2 linked regions of the Anolis sagrei genome follow. The protein of the gene in region 1 purifies or fractionates together with the protein of each later gene. This does not show direct contact. Links are inferred from orthologs where the notes say so. Each region holds a gene or a part of one and is shown in the gene's direction. Other genes may lie near its edges.

Evidence for each region.
Region 2: the proteins of GLI2 (region 1) and SUFU purify together in Homo sapiens (affinity purification with mass spectrometry; 3 studies listed by BioGRID and IntAct, with this or other methods). This does not show direct contact. The link is inferred for Anolis sagrei from reciprocal best matches to the Homo sapiens genes GLI2 and SUFU.

What each region holds. Positions count from the first base shown.
Region 1 is NC_090021.1:222,854,544-222,862,341, reverse strand, and holds the start of GLI2 (zinc finger protein GLI2), read left to right. Parts: upstream 1-4,780; 5' UTR 4,781-5,354; intron 5,355-7,798. UniProt on the Homo sapiens protein: Functions as a transcription regulator in the hedgehog (Hh) pathway. Functions as a transcriptional activator. May also function as transcriptional repressor. Requires STK36 for full transcriptional activator activity.
Region 2 is NC_090023.1:215,058,278-215,065,613, reverse strand, and holds the start of SUFU (suppressor of fused homolog), read left to right. Parts: upstream 1-4,309; 5' UTR 4,310-4,480; coding exon 4,481-4,638; intron 4,639-7,336. UniProt on the Homo sapiens protein: Negative regulator in the hedgehog/smoothened signaling pathway. Down-regulates GLI1-mediated transactivation of target genes. Down-regulates GLI2-mediated transactivation of target genes. Part of a corepressor complex that acts on DNA-bound GLI1.

The sequences.
Region 1 (7,798 bases):
AAGAAAGAGCCTCCGACACTCTGGGGCAGAAAGTTCCACTGCTGAACAGCCCTCACAATCAGGAAGTTCTTCCTAATGTTCAGGTGAACTGTCATTTCCTGTAGTTTGAAGCCATTGTTCCACGTCCTAGTCTCCAGGGCAGCAGAAAACAAGCTTGCTCCCTCCTCTCTATGACTTTCCTTCACATATTTATATGTGGCCCTCATCATGTCTCCTCTCAGCCTCCTCTTCTGCAGGCTAAACATGCCCAGCTCCTCATAGGGTTTGTTCTCCAGACCCTTGATCATTTTAGTCACCCTCTTCTGGACACATTCCAGTTTGTCAACATCTCACTTCGATTGTGGTGCCCAGAACTGGACACTTGTCTGTGGTATGTCCACACATTCAAATCAAAGCTCACTTTCTTGAGAACTATCTGGTCTAATAAGTTGTTAGCTATCTTTCCTCTTCCCTTAAGTAAATGGTAGTGAATTGGTTCATGTACGTATTTCCATGGAGTTGAAGTTTCTGGTGTGATGTGTTGGTTCGATTGAGACTGGTTCGATGAGTTTCTGACTCATGAGTCTCACAGCCTCCACTTTTTTTACAATTTATATTTTGGTGGCAAAACTTATACATCTATGCTTTTTCTGTTAGGGAAAACTACCCCAAAATAAGCAGAGCATCCAAAATACAAACAGGATACCAATAGTTGAGCATGAGCTCATAGTAGGCAGAGCATGAAGTGCCATTGGTTGTGGCTGTAAAGAATTCAGAGCTTAGGCAGGCAAAGATCTTAAAAATCTAATCTTAAAAATCACAAAAGGTTTATTTACAATAATAATAATAACTGCAATGCTTAATAATAAAGGACTGGGTCTGAGCGATGCTATACTCGTCTCTTCTAAAGTTTCAAAGAGAGGTAAAAAACAACAATCACTACATCTCTCCTGACATGCAGAGAGAGATATCTCAAAACACACAACATACACAGATGAAAAAGTAGAAATCCGTTTTTTAAGTCTTGCAGTAGAAAAGTATCCATTCTACACAACCAATCAGAATTAGAGCAGAAACAGAGAGAAGAGAAGAAATTAGATAAATTCCAACTGTCATACAGGAGACATGGGGAAAGGGAATCTTTCAGCCTATTCTAAGCTAAATTCTTGTTGAGGTCTGGAAACTTGAATTCCAACATGCCAAAATTACTAGACAAAACTCCTTCCCCATTTTCTTTCTATGTTGCTTTTCATACTTGCTCAGGAGGTATTTCTCAAGGCAGCCTGTTGCATGGAAGCACACAAGGCTAAATTAGAAGCATCTAAAGGAGGTTCCCCTTCTTTCCTAGTTCCAAATGTATTGTGGTGTTAATTGGAGACAAGCTGCATTCTCCAGCCCTTCTTCGCCATCATCCAAATAATAATGATGCAAACAAACCATTTAAATAAACTTCCACCTAAATAATAGACAGGAAAAGTGGGGAGGCTGGGTTGGGCTTCTGTAAAAAGACTGTTAAAAAGAGCTGCTGTGACAGAGGCTTTGTTAATGGAGGCATGTCAGTGTTGTTTCTCTCCAGGGCAAGTTTTTCTGCCCCTTCTAAACACTCTAATGGGGTGGAAAGTTGTTTTAGGTCCTACGCCCTTGCTTTGAGTCATGGGAGCTTGCAGTTTGGTCTCTTGGGGCTTGGAAACGTTCTCGTAGGCATCCTCCCTCACTAGCTGGGGACTTCTGGTGTGCGTCTACACCACATGTCTCAGACTCAAGACTCACAGGGCAAATTCGGCCTACCATGTCATTTTATGGAGTCCTCTGGATGCTGGACTACAACTCCTGTATTCCTCATCATTAGACGTCATGACTGGAACCAATGGGAGTTGTGATGCAGCAACATCTGGAAGGCTGCAGTTTGTTCTATTTAGTCAGGATAGTGATGTTTGAATTTAGATACAAGGCTTGTGGATAGGATGTCTGACTTTAAAATGTCATTCAATTTTTCCCCAACCTCAGAGCCACAAGTGTTGCTGAGTTGCAATTTCCATTACCCCCAATCTGCATGGGGGATAATCAAAAGTGATTGCAGTTGTCAATCGATAACATCTGGAGATCCAAACTGGGTAAAACCTGACCACTATATAAGTGAGGAGCCATGGTGGTGCAATGGGTTAAATCAGTGGTTCTCAACCTGTGGGTCTCCAGGTGTTTTGGCCTACAACTCCAAGAAATCCCAGCCCGTTTACCAGCTGTTAGGATTTCTGGGAGTTGAAGGCCAAAACACGCGGGGACTCACAGGTTGAGAACCACTGGGTTAAACCCCTGTGCCAGCAGGACTGCTGAAGGTCATCAGTTTGAATCTGTGGGACGGCGCTTCCTTCTGTCAGTTCCAGTTTCTATGCAGGGACATGAGAGAAGCCTCTCACAGGATGGTAACACATTCTTGCAGATGCCCAATTCTCTCACACCAGAAGTGACTTGCAGTTTCTCAAGTCGCTCCTGACATGATAAAAAAAAAACCCCAACTATATAAGAGCACTGGCCACTATGTAAAAAATAGTTTATTTTATTTTATTGTATTTTATTTACCCTATTTATATCTCACTTTTCTCTACCCCAAGGGGCACTCAAGGTGGCTTACATATGCCAATTATTCAATGCCTTAAACACATATAACATTAAGCTTGAAATCCATTGAATTAAAATTAATATATATAAAAATTTAAAAATTACATTCAGTATTAAAATCATGCCATCCAAAAATCGTAGTCTGAAGCTGTTCTATAGTCATAGCACATATTCCAGTTATATTATTGCACTGCTTCTATGAAGTTCTGGTCCCAGAGCCAGGTTTTCACTCTCCTTCTGAAGGCTAGGGGGGAGGGGGCTGATCTAATGGCACTGGGGAGGGAGTTCCACAACCGAGAGGCCACCACTGAGAAGACCCTCTCTCTTGTCCCCACCAGTCACACTTGAGAAGAAGGTGGGACCAAGAGCAGGGCCTCCCCATAAGATCTTAATCTCTGAGATGGTTCATAGGGGGAGATACATTTGTATAGGTAAATTGGGCCAGAACCATTTAGGGCAGTGGTTCCCATTTTTTTTGACCAGGGACCACTTGACCAGGGACTACTTTGACCAGGGAAAACTCTCTAGCATTAGTACCAAAAGGGTTACAAATCAGTTTTTGGTCAACTTTAGATTTAGTTTGGTTATTTGGGGTGTTGATTCAGAAAATTGCATTGGATAGATGACAACAGCTCTAGTTTCTGATACAGAACATATGCCATCCAGTAGTTGCCATCTGATGCCCACAGAAAACCATATTTAATAAGCCTCAGCATTATAAGACGGTTTTGCAAGACCAGTTGTTCTCATTGCAATGGTGGAGGCCGCAGATCATATTTTAGTTCTTGCGCACCACCAGTGGTCTACAGACCACAGGTTGGGAACCATTAGTTTAGGGCTTTAAATTGTGTTTGGCAGCCAGTGGAGCTGACTTAATAGGGGAGTTGTCCCTCTATATCCATGGATTCTCCATGGAATCAAGGCAATTTGTAGACAAACATAAGGCTGATGCGGCTCTCAGTGCAAATGAGTGTAGCATCCCTAGTCCTCACTGTAGGATAAGTGCAGTTGAAGTGCCAGGGAGTTCTGGGCATTTTTGCTTTACAGGGCCTGTAGCCTTCCTCAGCAAGTGTAGGTGCCTCACCACACCATGGATCCCAGGATTCCACAGCAAGGAGCCATGGGGCTCCAAGGGGTGTTATACTGCATCCATTCTAGAGAAGAGATGCACTTCTGGGGTCTTCTGGGACTCCAGGAGGGTGCAAATGGGGCGAGGGTCTGGGGAGGCCCAGTGGAGGACAGAGAGGGCCACGCTTCCCCGGGGCTTCTTCCTCCTCCTGCCCAGGTCTGTGATGCGAGGGCAGCCTCTCTGGCAGGAGCCTCCATTGTGCAAGACTGAAGACTGACAGGTCGGAGGACCGAACCTGGGGAGAGCACGGATGAGCTCCCTCTGTCAGCTCCAGCTCTCCATGCGGGGACATGAGAGAAGCCCCCCCAAAAGATGGTAAAACATCAAAAAATCCGGGCGTCCCCTGGGCAATGTCCTTGCAGACTGCCAATTCTCTCACACCAGAAGTGACTTTCAGTTTCTTACCCATGTGGGGACATATGAGAAGCCTCCCACAAGGATGGTAAAACATCATGGTGTCCCCTGGGCAACGTCCCTGCAGATGGCCATTTCTCTTACACCAGAAGTGACTTGCAATTTCTCAACCATGTGGGGACATGTAAGAAGCCTCTCACAAGGATAGTAAAACATCAAAATATCTGGGCATCCCCTGGGCAACATCCTTGCGGATGGCCAGTTCTCTCACCTCAGAAGTGACTTACAGTTTCCCAACCATGCGGTGACATAAGAGAAGCCTCCCACAAGGGTGGTAAAACATCAAAACATCTGGGCATCCCCTGAGCAACGTCCCTGCAGACGGCCAATTCTCTCATACCAGAAGTGACTTGCAGTTTCTCAACCATATGGGGACATGAGAGACGCCTCTACAAGGATAGTAAAACATCAAAACATCTGGGCATCCCCTGGGCAACGTGCTTGCAGACGGCCAATTCTCTTGCAGTTTCTCAAGTCGCTCCTGACACAAAAGTTGCTCCTGACACGGAAAAAAAAGCCTCTCTGGCAGGGGCTCCAGGGGCGGGGAGGAGGAGGAGGAGGAGGAGGAGGAGGAGGAGGAGGAGGAGGAGGAGGAGGAGGAGGAGGAGGAGGAGGAGGAGGAGGAGGCGGGGAAGAGGAGCAAGACAGAGCAGGCAATGGGTTTGAGCTCCGGAGATCATCTGACTTGAAAGCCCCAAAGTGCGGAAGAGAGAGAGAAAGAAAGAAAGAAGGAGAAGCGAGGGGGAGAAAAGTTTGGTCCCCGCTCGGTCTCTCCCGCTCCCCGATCCCAAGAGGGGGGCGTGTTTCTGAAACTTTCTTCCCTCGCTCTCTCTTCCCTTCCCTTCCTCTCCCCTTCCCTTCCCTTGCCCTCCCTTCTCCGCCTGCCCGCCTCCCTCCGCCTCGCCGCGCGTGCGGCTGTCCTGCCCAGGAAGATGATGGATGGCAGGAGGGCAGCCGCGCGCCAGCAGAGCAGCAAGGAGAGCAGCAGCAGCAGGAGGAGGAGGAGGCAGCAGCAGCAGCAGCGGCGGCGCCCCAGACTTTGCTAAAGTCCCCTCGCTGCGTCCCGGACGGGCCTGGCAGCGCCTCCATCCCGGGAAGGAGGGCTTTGGAGAGAAAAAGAGGGGCGGGAAGCGAGCGGGAAGCAGCGGGCGATGGGGAGCCGCACGCCTGGCCCTGCCCGGGAGACGCTGCCCGCCTGAAAACTTCTCTTCGGGTAAAGTTGTGCCTCCCTTTCCCCCCTCCCCCGGTTCCTTCCTTCTTCTTCCCTCCTTTCTCAATCCCCTTCCTCCTTCTCTCCCAGCCTCTTCCCCGCTTTCAAGCCTCTTCTTCCTCACTTTCCGAGTCCCTTCTTCCTCCCTCTATCAACTCATCACACTAGAGAATGAATCCGCTTTAAATCCGGTTTCTGCCTCCTGCAAAATTCGGAGGTTTGTAGTTTAGGGAGGCTGTTAACGACTCCTTCTTAAACTACAAACCCCAGAATTCTGCAGGAGGCAGAAACTGGATTTTAAGTGGATTTTTCCTCTCTTGTGATGAGGCCCATCATCATCATCATACAGTTTGGAACCAGTTTGAGAGGAAGTTTCACTACATAGAATGAATCCACTTTAAAGGGGGTTTCTGCCTCCTGCAGAATTCTGGGGTTTGTTGTTCTGTGAGCCTGTGAAAAGCTCCTCCCTAAACTACAAGCCCCGGAATTCCGCAGAAGGCTGAAACCCCATTTGAAGTGGATTCATTCTCTGGTGTGAGGAGGTCTTAGGGCATGTGATCCCAGGACTCAGTGTGACGAGGTCTCCTCCCTTTCCCTTCCCGCGGGTGCTTCGGGCTTCCCCTTGAGGCGCCTGGGAAGCCACCCCCTTTCTTTAAATAGCGGCGGCGGGGGGGGGGGGGGCTTTTTCCCGCCTGCCTCGTTTCCCCCTTCGCGGGTGTCTTAAGGAGAAAAGTTGGAGAGCTGCGTCCCGCGTCAAGACCAAGAGCCCTCTTGCCTCTCTCTCTTGGGGAAAGTTGGGGAGAACTTTTCCAACTCGGGGAGCAGGTTGCTACTCGGGGTCCGGTTGGGCTTTGGGTCGGGACGAGCCACGCGGCTCCCCCGTTCCTCTGTGCTTGGCAAACTCCGCCTTGGAGCGGGTGCCTCCTCCTCCTCCTCCTCCTCCTCCTTCCCTTTGGTGGTGGTTGTGGTCCATTGGGCCTCGAGCGGCTCCCTTGCCTCTCTTTGCTTGTTTCCTCCAGAATCGGAGGCGAGGAGAAGGAGGAGGAATCCAGCCTGATTCCCCCCCCCCCCCTTCCCGGCTGAAACCAGTGGGACGCCTTTCGGATCGCGCCTGTGGCGACCGGGTCTGCTGCTGAGTCGGACCAGTGTGTTGAGGCAACGCAGAAGAGTCTCCTTCCTTCGGAGTGAGGGGCTTCAGACCCTCCTGGAGGGAAGTGGCCTGGAAGTTTGGTGTTTGTTTGGGAGGCTGATTCATCTCGTCGGCTTGGGCGGCGTTTTCGCCTCTCCAAAATCTTCCCTACCCCCCCCCCCCCCTTTTTTTTCTCCTTGCGATCTTTCGTCAAGTCTGTTTGCGAAGGAATTTCAAAAATCCGCCGCTGCAACTTGATGCCGGTGTGATGGGGAGAGACACGGAGGGAGCCGGGCGCCAGGCCTATTAAGGGTCGGGAGGGCCAGGGGCTTCCTTCCACTCCTCTTCCCAAGCCAAAGGTTTGGAAACATTTGCAACTCGAAAGGGGGGGGGGGTTTACCAGATCTCCCCCTCCACCATACCTCTTGCCTCCAAACGCTCTCCCCATCCTTGGTTGAACCTCAGTCTCCCTGCAAAAGGGTTGGTTTGTTTTCACCCTGCTCTGTTCTACAGATGTTGATGTTGCTGTTATCCATGCCTGTTGTGCTCTGCAGAGTTCCTCAAAGTTTGAAACTGAAGTTGCAAAGCGCCCCCTTCTTCCTAGCAAGTCTTTGCCATGCCCCCAAAGATTAAATAAAAATACAAGGAAAATACAGAAGTATATGTTTAATTCAGTAGGGGTTTAGGTATGTATTCAAGCCCCCAGTGGCACAGTGGGTTAAACTGCTGAGCTGCTCAACTTGCTGAATGAAAAGTTGGCAGTTTGGATCTGTGGAGCAGGGTGAGCTCCTGCTGTTAGGCCCAGCTTCTGCCAACTGAGCAGTTCAAAAACATGCAAATATGAGTAGATCAGTAGGTACCGCTCAGTAACAACGCTCCATGCAATCATGCTGGCCACATGACCTAGGAGGCGTCTATGGACAATGCCAGCTCATCAGCTTAGAAATGGAGATGAGTTATGCAACCCAGAGTCAGACTCAAATACACTTGATGTCAAGGGGAAATGTTTACCTTTACGATATGTTTCATTCAGTAGGGTGTTAAGGACCTGCAGGGATCTTGTTCCTCATACTCTGTGACAATGTTTCTAATGTGAGGGAATTGGCAATTAATTTTTTCCCAAAGTGCAAGCAACCAGCATTCATTTTTTCTAGCAACACACCCCTTCAGAGCTATGTATGCAGGTGCACTACAGAGGTAAAGGTCTCACTCAGTAAGGAATCTGATTGTGCTTCTGATGTGAGTGGACTGGTAATTATTTTCCCCCAAAGTGCTAGGGACCAGCATGAAATCTGTGCCCATTGGTTTTCTGGAAACT
Region 2 (7,336 bases), on another chromosome or scaffold:
GATACTAACAGGAGCGGAGCGCAGGGAGCATACAACTCCTCTGTTGCACCAGCTCCACTGGCTGCCGATTTGCTACCGGGCTCAATTCAAAGTGCTGGCGTTGGCCTATAAAGCCCTAAACGGTTCGGGCCCAAGTTACCTATCCGAACGTATCTCTGCCTACAAACCCACCAGGACTCTAAGATCTTCTGGGGAGGCCCTGCTCTCGATCCCGCCTGCATCACAAGCACGGCTGGCGGGGACGAGGGACAGGGCCTTCTCTGTGGTGGCCCCTCGGCTGTGGAACGCTCTTCCCATGGACATTAGATCAGCTCCTACATTAATGGTGTTTCGAAGAAAACTAAAAACCTGGCTGTTTGAACAGGCATTCGGATAAACAGTGCAATGAATACGATGAATATAGGAACGGAATTATGGACGACGAATTGGATCATGATTCTAGCTACGAGATGTTAATGTGTTGTTATTGATGTGTCATCACTTTGTATACTATGCTGTTAATGGTTTTTAAATTGTATGTTGTTATGATTGTCTTTTGGCTCTTGTTGTGAACCGCGTTGAGTCGCCTACGGGCTGAGCAACTGCAGCATACAAGCAAAGTAAATAAATAAATAAATGTTTTTTTTTTCGTGTCAGGAGCAACCTGAGAAATTGCAAGTCGCTTCTGGTGTGAGAGAATTGGCCGTCTGCAAGGACGTTGCCCAGGGGACACCCGGATGATTTTGATGTTTTATCATCCTTGTGGGAGGCTTTTCTCATGTCCCCACATGAGGAGCTGACGCTGATATAGGGAGCTCATCCGCCTCTCCCCGGATTCGAACCTGCGACCTGTTGGTCTTTAGTCCTGGCAGCATTGCAAAGAAGTTATACAAAGACATTCCAGCCAATGCATGTTGGGCTTGACCGCTGATGGTTTATAACTTTAACTTTGTCTTTTCATTTGGAAAATAAAGTAATCTCTATGACCTTAACATTGTATTACACAACAGATGAAACATGTCTTTTCTAAAATATCTTCTGTCTTAGACTCTCATAAGCCATTGCAATGTGAAACAACTTGAAATCGCATTATTTGATCAGCTTAGACTTATATATAATGCAATGCCATGCAATGCAGCTTGAAATTGCATTATGTGTTCAGTGTGGATTCATATATAATGCAGTGCCATGGAATACAACTTGAAATGGCATTATATGGTCAGTGTAGATTCATATATAATGCAGTGCCATACAATGCAGCTTGAAATGGAATTATATAGTCAGCATAGACTCATATATAATGCAGTGCCATGCAATGCAGCTTGAAACAGAATTATATAGTCAGCGTAAACTCATATATAATGCAGTACCATATAATGCAGCTCGACAAGGCAGAGTGTGGACTCATATCTAAGCCAGTGCCATGTAATACAACTTGAAACAGCATTATATGGTCAGCATAGACTCATATATAATGCAATTCCATGCAATGTAGCTTGAAGCAGAATTATATGGTCAGTGTAGTCACATATAATGCAGAACGGCATTATATGAGTCTACCCTGATTGTATAATGCTGTTTCAAGTTGTATTATATGGCACTGGTCAATGTAGACTCATAATGCAGTGCCATGTAATACAACTTGAAATAACAGTATATGGTTGGTGTAGACTCATAATACAGTTTTGCAATATATGAGTCTACACTGAACATGTAATACTGATCAAGCTGCATTACATGGCAATGAAGATGGAGCCCTGAATGAATTTAATTGTTACAGTCACAGACCAAAAGTGTGAAACTTTAAAATTTTAAAAACAGTTTTTTTATTGTTAACACTAAGAACAAAAATTTACAACATTAAAAGTAGGAAGTCTGTGGGTAAAAAAATTAATAAAATAAAACTTTTTCTGCTAAAATAATCTGCTTCCTTATTTTTATAACTGCCGCACAAAACTTAGCCACGCTATAATGAGTGGTGGATCTCTATCCTCTAGGAGATGTTTTAGATAATAGTCTTTTAGAAAACAAGTCTAGAAAATCTCCTTCTCGGCTACAACATTTCTGAGTTGAATTCTGCCTTGGACATGGATCAGTGGCAATTAAGACCCTTTCTATGCAGCCATATAATCCAGATTATCAAAGCACATAATCCAGATTATCTGCTTTGAACTGGATTATATGTGTCTACACTGCCATGTAATGCAGTTCAAGGCAGATAACCTGGATTTTATATGGCAATGTAGAAGGGGCACTACTAGACTTAATGTTGGACACTACTAGAATTAATGTCAGGACAAACCTTTACCTTTACCTTTTATTTACTTATTTATTTCACATATTTGTATCCCGTCCTTCTCACCCCTGGAGGGGGACTCATGTCGGCTTCACAACCGGCATTTATTCAATGCCAACAACAGTAATAAGTGATAAAAGCAATTAAAACAGTTTGTTAATGCTTTAAATTTACTAAAAATTGTTTAAATCACACAGGTTGAAATCATAGTCCAGTTCAGTCCATTGTCATTCACACAAATTGGGACTCATTCTACATTGCTGCCTCTACGTGAATGAATTCCTATGCACACTGCACATATCTTATTTGTAGTACAAAAAAAATAATTAAAATGAAAAACAATTTTAATATAAACTTATTAGTATTTCAATGGGAAGTGTGGACCTGCTTTTGGTTGGTAAGATTGTTGTTGTTGTTGTTGTTGTCTGCTTTCAAGTCGTTTCAGACTTAGGTTGACCCTGAGCGAGGGCCAGGTAAATGACCTTGAAGGGCCGTATTCGGCCGTCGAGCCTTAGTTTGAGGACCCCTGATCTAGACACTATATTCCTATGGAGACATGCCAAAATCTCATTGGCTTTTTTTGCCCTCACATCACATTGTTGGCTCATAGAATCATACAGTTGGGAGAGACCTCATGGGCCACCCAGTCCAACCCCCTGACAAGCAGGTATATTGTATTCAAAGCACCCTTGACAGATGGCCATCCAGCCTCTGTTTAAAAGCTTCCAAAGAAGGAGCCTCCACCACAATCCGGGGCAGAGAGTTCCACTGCTGAACGGCTCTCACAGTCAGGAAGTGACTGTGTTCCTAATGTTCAGGTGGAATCTCCTTTCTTGTAGTTTGAAGCCAAGTCTCCAGGGCAGCAGAAAACAAGCCTGCTCCCTCCTCCCTATGGCTTTCCCTCACATATTTGCTGTCACATCAGCACTTTTAATCCTGTACCCATTACTCTGGCCCGGCCCAGTTTTATTGTGTCTTAGTGTCTTAGTTTATTGCTTGTTGTTTATATTGCTTTAATTGTTTTTAATTTGCCTTAGGTTTTGCATTGTTGCATTGTGTGTGGAGGCCTTGGCCTTGTAAGCCGCATCGAGTCCTTCAGGAGATGCTGTTGTTCATTCGTTCAGTCGTCTCCGACTCTTCGTGACCACATGGACCAGCCCACGACAGAGCTCCCTGTCGGCCGTCACCACCCCCAGCTCCTTCAAGGTCAGTCCAGTCACTTCAAGGATGCCATCCATCCATTTTGTCCTTGGTCGGCCCCTCTTCCTTTTTCCTTCCACTTTCCCCAGCATAATTGTCTTCTCTAGGCTTTGCTGTCTCCTCATGATGTGGCCAAAGTACTTCAACTTTGTCTCTAGAATCCTTCCCTCCAATGAGCAACCGGGCTTTATTTCCTGGAGGATTGACTGGCTGGATCTTCTCGCAGTCCAAGGCACTCTCAGCACTTTCCTCCAGCACCACAGCTCAAAAGCATCGATCTTCCTTCGCTCAGCCTTCCCTAAGGTCCAGCTCTCACATCCGTAGGTTACTACAGGGAAGACCATGGCTTTGACTAGGCGGAGATGCTAGCGGGGTACAAATAAAGTTTAATAATAATAATAATAATAACAATATTTATACATCACCATCATGTCTCCTCTCAGCCTTCTTTTCTTCAGGCTAAACATGCCCAGCTCTTCAAGCTGCTCCTCATAGGGCTTGTTCTCCAGACCCTTTCTCCTTTCTCATTTCATGTTTAACTTGTTGTCCACGAGGACTCCAAGATCTTTTTCACACGCACTGTTCTCGAGCCACGCGTCCCCCATTCTGTATCTTGACAGATATATCTTCATTTCTGCCAGGGATCTGCTGTATAATGGGAGTAATACAAAACAGAGATGGAGCCCTGCTTTCAGTGAACTAGTGAGGAAGGCATGCCTTGCAACGCCTCCCCACTGCCGCTAGGGGTCAGTCACGCAGAAAGGGTGTGTGGAAGAGGAAGGCGGGGCGCGTTGGATCCTCGGAGGACATTCGCCGCGTCGCGATTGGCGGAGCCGCTTGCCCATCAAAGGCGCGGGAGGCGGGAGGAAAGAAAGGGGGATGTCGATGGAGAGCGCGTCTCCTGCCTGGGGTCGCTGAGGGGAGTCTGGAGCCTCCGTTTGGGCCTCGGCTTCCGTGGAGGGGGCTGAGGCGGGCGTGCTTCCTCCCTCCTTCGCTCCTTCCCTCATGGAGACCTCAGCGACCGCCTCTGCCACCTCGGGCCCCACGCCGGGCCCTTTCCCCCCGCTCTTCCCGCCGGGGCTGCACGGGATCTATGGAGAGTGCCGGCGCCTCTACCCGGAGCAGCCCAACCCGCTGCAGGTCACCGCCATCCTCAAGTACTGGTGAGTCAGGCCTCGGGAAGGGGCAGACAAAGGCCCGAGGGGCCTCCACAGGCGCCCCCTTCGCTCAGGCTGCGTCTGGGCCAGCCTGGGCCCTCGAGGTGTTTTGGACTCCAACTCCCACCATTCCTAACAGCCTCAGGCCCTTTCCTTTCACCCCTCAGCCGCTTAAGCGGCAGAGGGGTGAAAGGAAGGGGCCTGAGGCTGTTAGGAATGGTGGGAGTTGGAGTCCAAAACACCTCAAGGGCCCAGGCTGGCCCATGCTTACTTTACACTATAGAATGAATGAGGTTTGACACCACTTGACCTGTATTTTCTGTTGGTCATGGAGGTTTCTGTATAGGAAGTTTGGCCCAATTCTATCCAGGTGAACTATAAATCCCAGCAACTACAACTCCCAAATGTCAAGCTCTATTCCCCCCAAACTCCACCAGTGTTCACATTTCACATATTGAGTATTCGTGCCAAGTTTGGTCCAGATCCATCATTGTTTGAGTCCAAAATACTCTCTGGATGGAGGTGATCTACAACTCCGAAACTCAAGTGTCCACCAAATCCTTCAAGTATTTTCTGTTGGTTGTGGGAGTTCTGTGTGCCAAGTTTGGTTCAATCCCTTCATTCAATTGGTTCAATTCCATCCTCTTCGATTGTAGTTTAACCACAAAGTGCTGGTTTTTACCTATAAAGCTCTTTATGGTTCTGGATCAGCTTAGTTGTCCGAACGCATCTGCCTCTACGTCCCACCTCGTAACTCATCCAGGGAGGCCCTGCTCTCCTTCCAGCCAACATCGCAAACATGGACAAGAGACAGGGCCTTCTCGGCTGTAGCCCCCTGCCTGTGGAACGCTCTTCCAAATGAAATAGGATCGACTCCATCCCTCCTGGCGTTCAGGAAAAAATTAAAATCTTGTTTTTGGGACTAGGCTTTCGGACAATAAACATAAAGCAGCACTTTGACTGGAAATGGATTGGTAAGGCCATATGTATGAGGATATGGTTTTATGGTTCTATCAGTGGGTTCATGGACTGAGTATTGTTTTAATGACTTATGATAATTTGGTTATAATTAACTGCTATTGTTTTAACTCTGTATGTATTTGTGGTTTTATACTGTGTTATTGATTGTGGCATCAAATTGCTGCCTTTGTTAGCTGCTCTGAGTCCCTCCCCCCCCCCCCCGGGGTTGAGAAAGGTGGGGTAAAAATGCAGTAAATAAATAAATAAAATAAACAAACTATAAGTCCTAGCAACAACAACTTGCAGGTGACATAATCAATGCCCCCCCTCCCCCAACCTCACCAGTATTCGAATTTGGGCATGCCAGGTATGAGTGCCAAATTTGATCCAGTGAATGTAAATACATCCTGCATATCGGATACTTACATTACGATTCATAACACTAGCAAAATTACAGTTATGAAAGTACCAACGAAAATAATTTCAGTCGTGGGATCACCGCAATATGAGGAACTGTATTAAGGGGTCGTGGTGTTAGGAAGGTTGAAAAACACTGGTGTAGATGCACACTTGGATTTCTAAAGTGACCAAAAGTTGTTTTCTATTTATGGGAGGGAGGATCTTTTGGAAAGCTCGAGGAAGTGCTTTGAATTCATGGCTGCTGGTGGTGTTTGATTGGGAGGGGGTTGTTTTGATGGAGACATTGAGGGGTTTGAGGATAGAGGGGTCAGCAAGAAAGCTTACATACTTATATTTCTTCTTACATATTGTTGTCCACATTGCTCCCCCCCCCCCCCGATGGTTAAACTGCTGAGCTGCTGAACTTGCAGACCGAAAGGTTGGTGGTTTGAATCCGAGGAGTGGGGTGAGCTCCCACTATTAGTCCCAGCTTCTGCCAACCTAACCGTTTGAAAACATGCAAATGTGAGTAGATCAATGGACTGCTTCTGCAGGAAGGTAACGACACTCCATGCAGTCATGTCAGCCACATGACCTAGGAGGTGTCAGTGGACAACGCCGGCTCTTCAACTGAGAAATTGAGATGAGCACCAATCCTCAGAGTTGGACACGACTGGACTTAATGTCAGGGGAAAACCTTTACCTTTGCATATTGTTGTCTGTATGTGGCATTTGAAGTGCTTCTGTGAGCTGCCCCAAGTCCCTTTGGGGAGATATTGGCAATTAGATTTTCTACTTTTATATTTTATACAGATTTTAGTTGCTGAATGTGTTTTTTAGGAGGCTTGATTGATAAGAAGTTTTAGTTAATGTTGTTTTATTTGTGTATTTTTAATCTGTTCATTTTAATTGGTTTGTCAGTTTGTTTTATCTTGTTACTGCACATTTATGTATTTATTTATTTACCATATTTATACCCTGCCCTTCTTAACCCAGAGGGGACTCAATGTGACTTACATATAGGCAACTATTAAGTGCCTTAGAGCAGCATACAATGAAAATAAAAATTTAAGATTGAAATTAATACACATTAAACAGGTAAAAACATTACATCCATTACGAAAACCACGCCATCCACAATTGTAATCTGGGACTATCCAGTAGTCTTTCTGTAAAGACTTTCTGTATATTTATGTCTTTATTTTGCATATTTCTATCCCATCCTTCTCACCCAGAAGGGGGGACTCAGGGTGGCTTGCAACAGGCAACCATTTCATGCCATCAAACAGATTCATAAATAACAATTGCAATTAAAACAGTAATTAAAATGTTAAATTATTAAAGC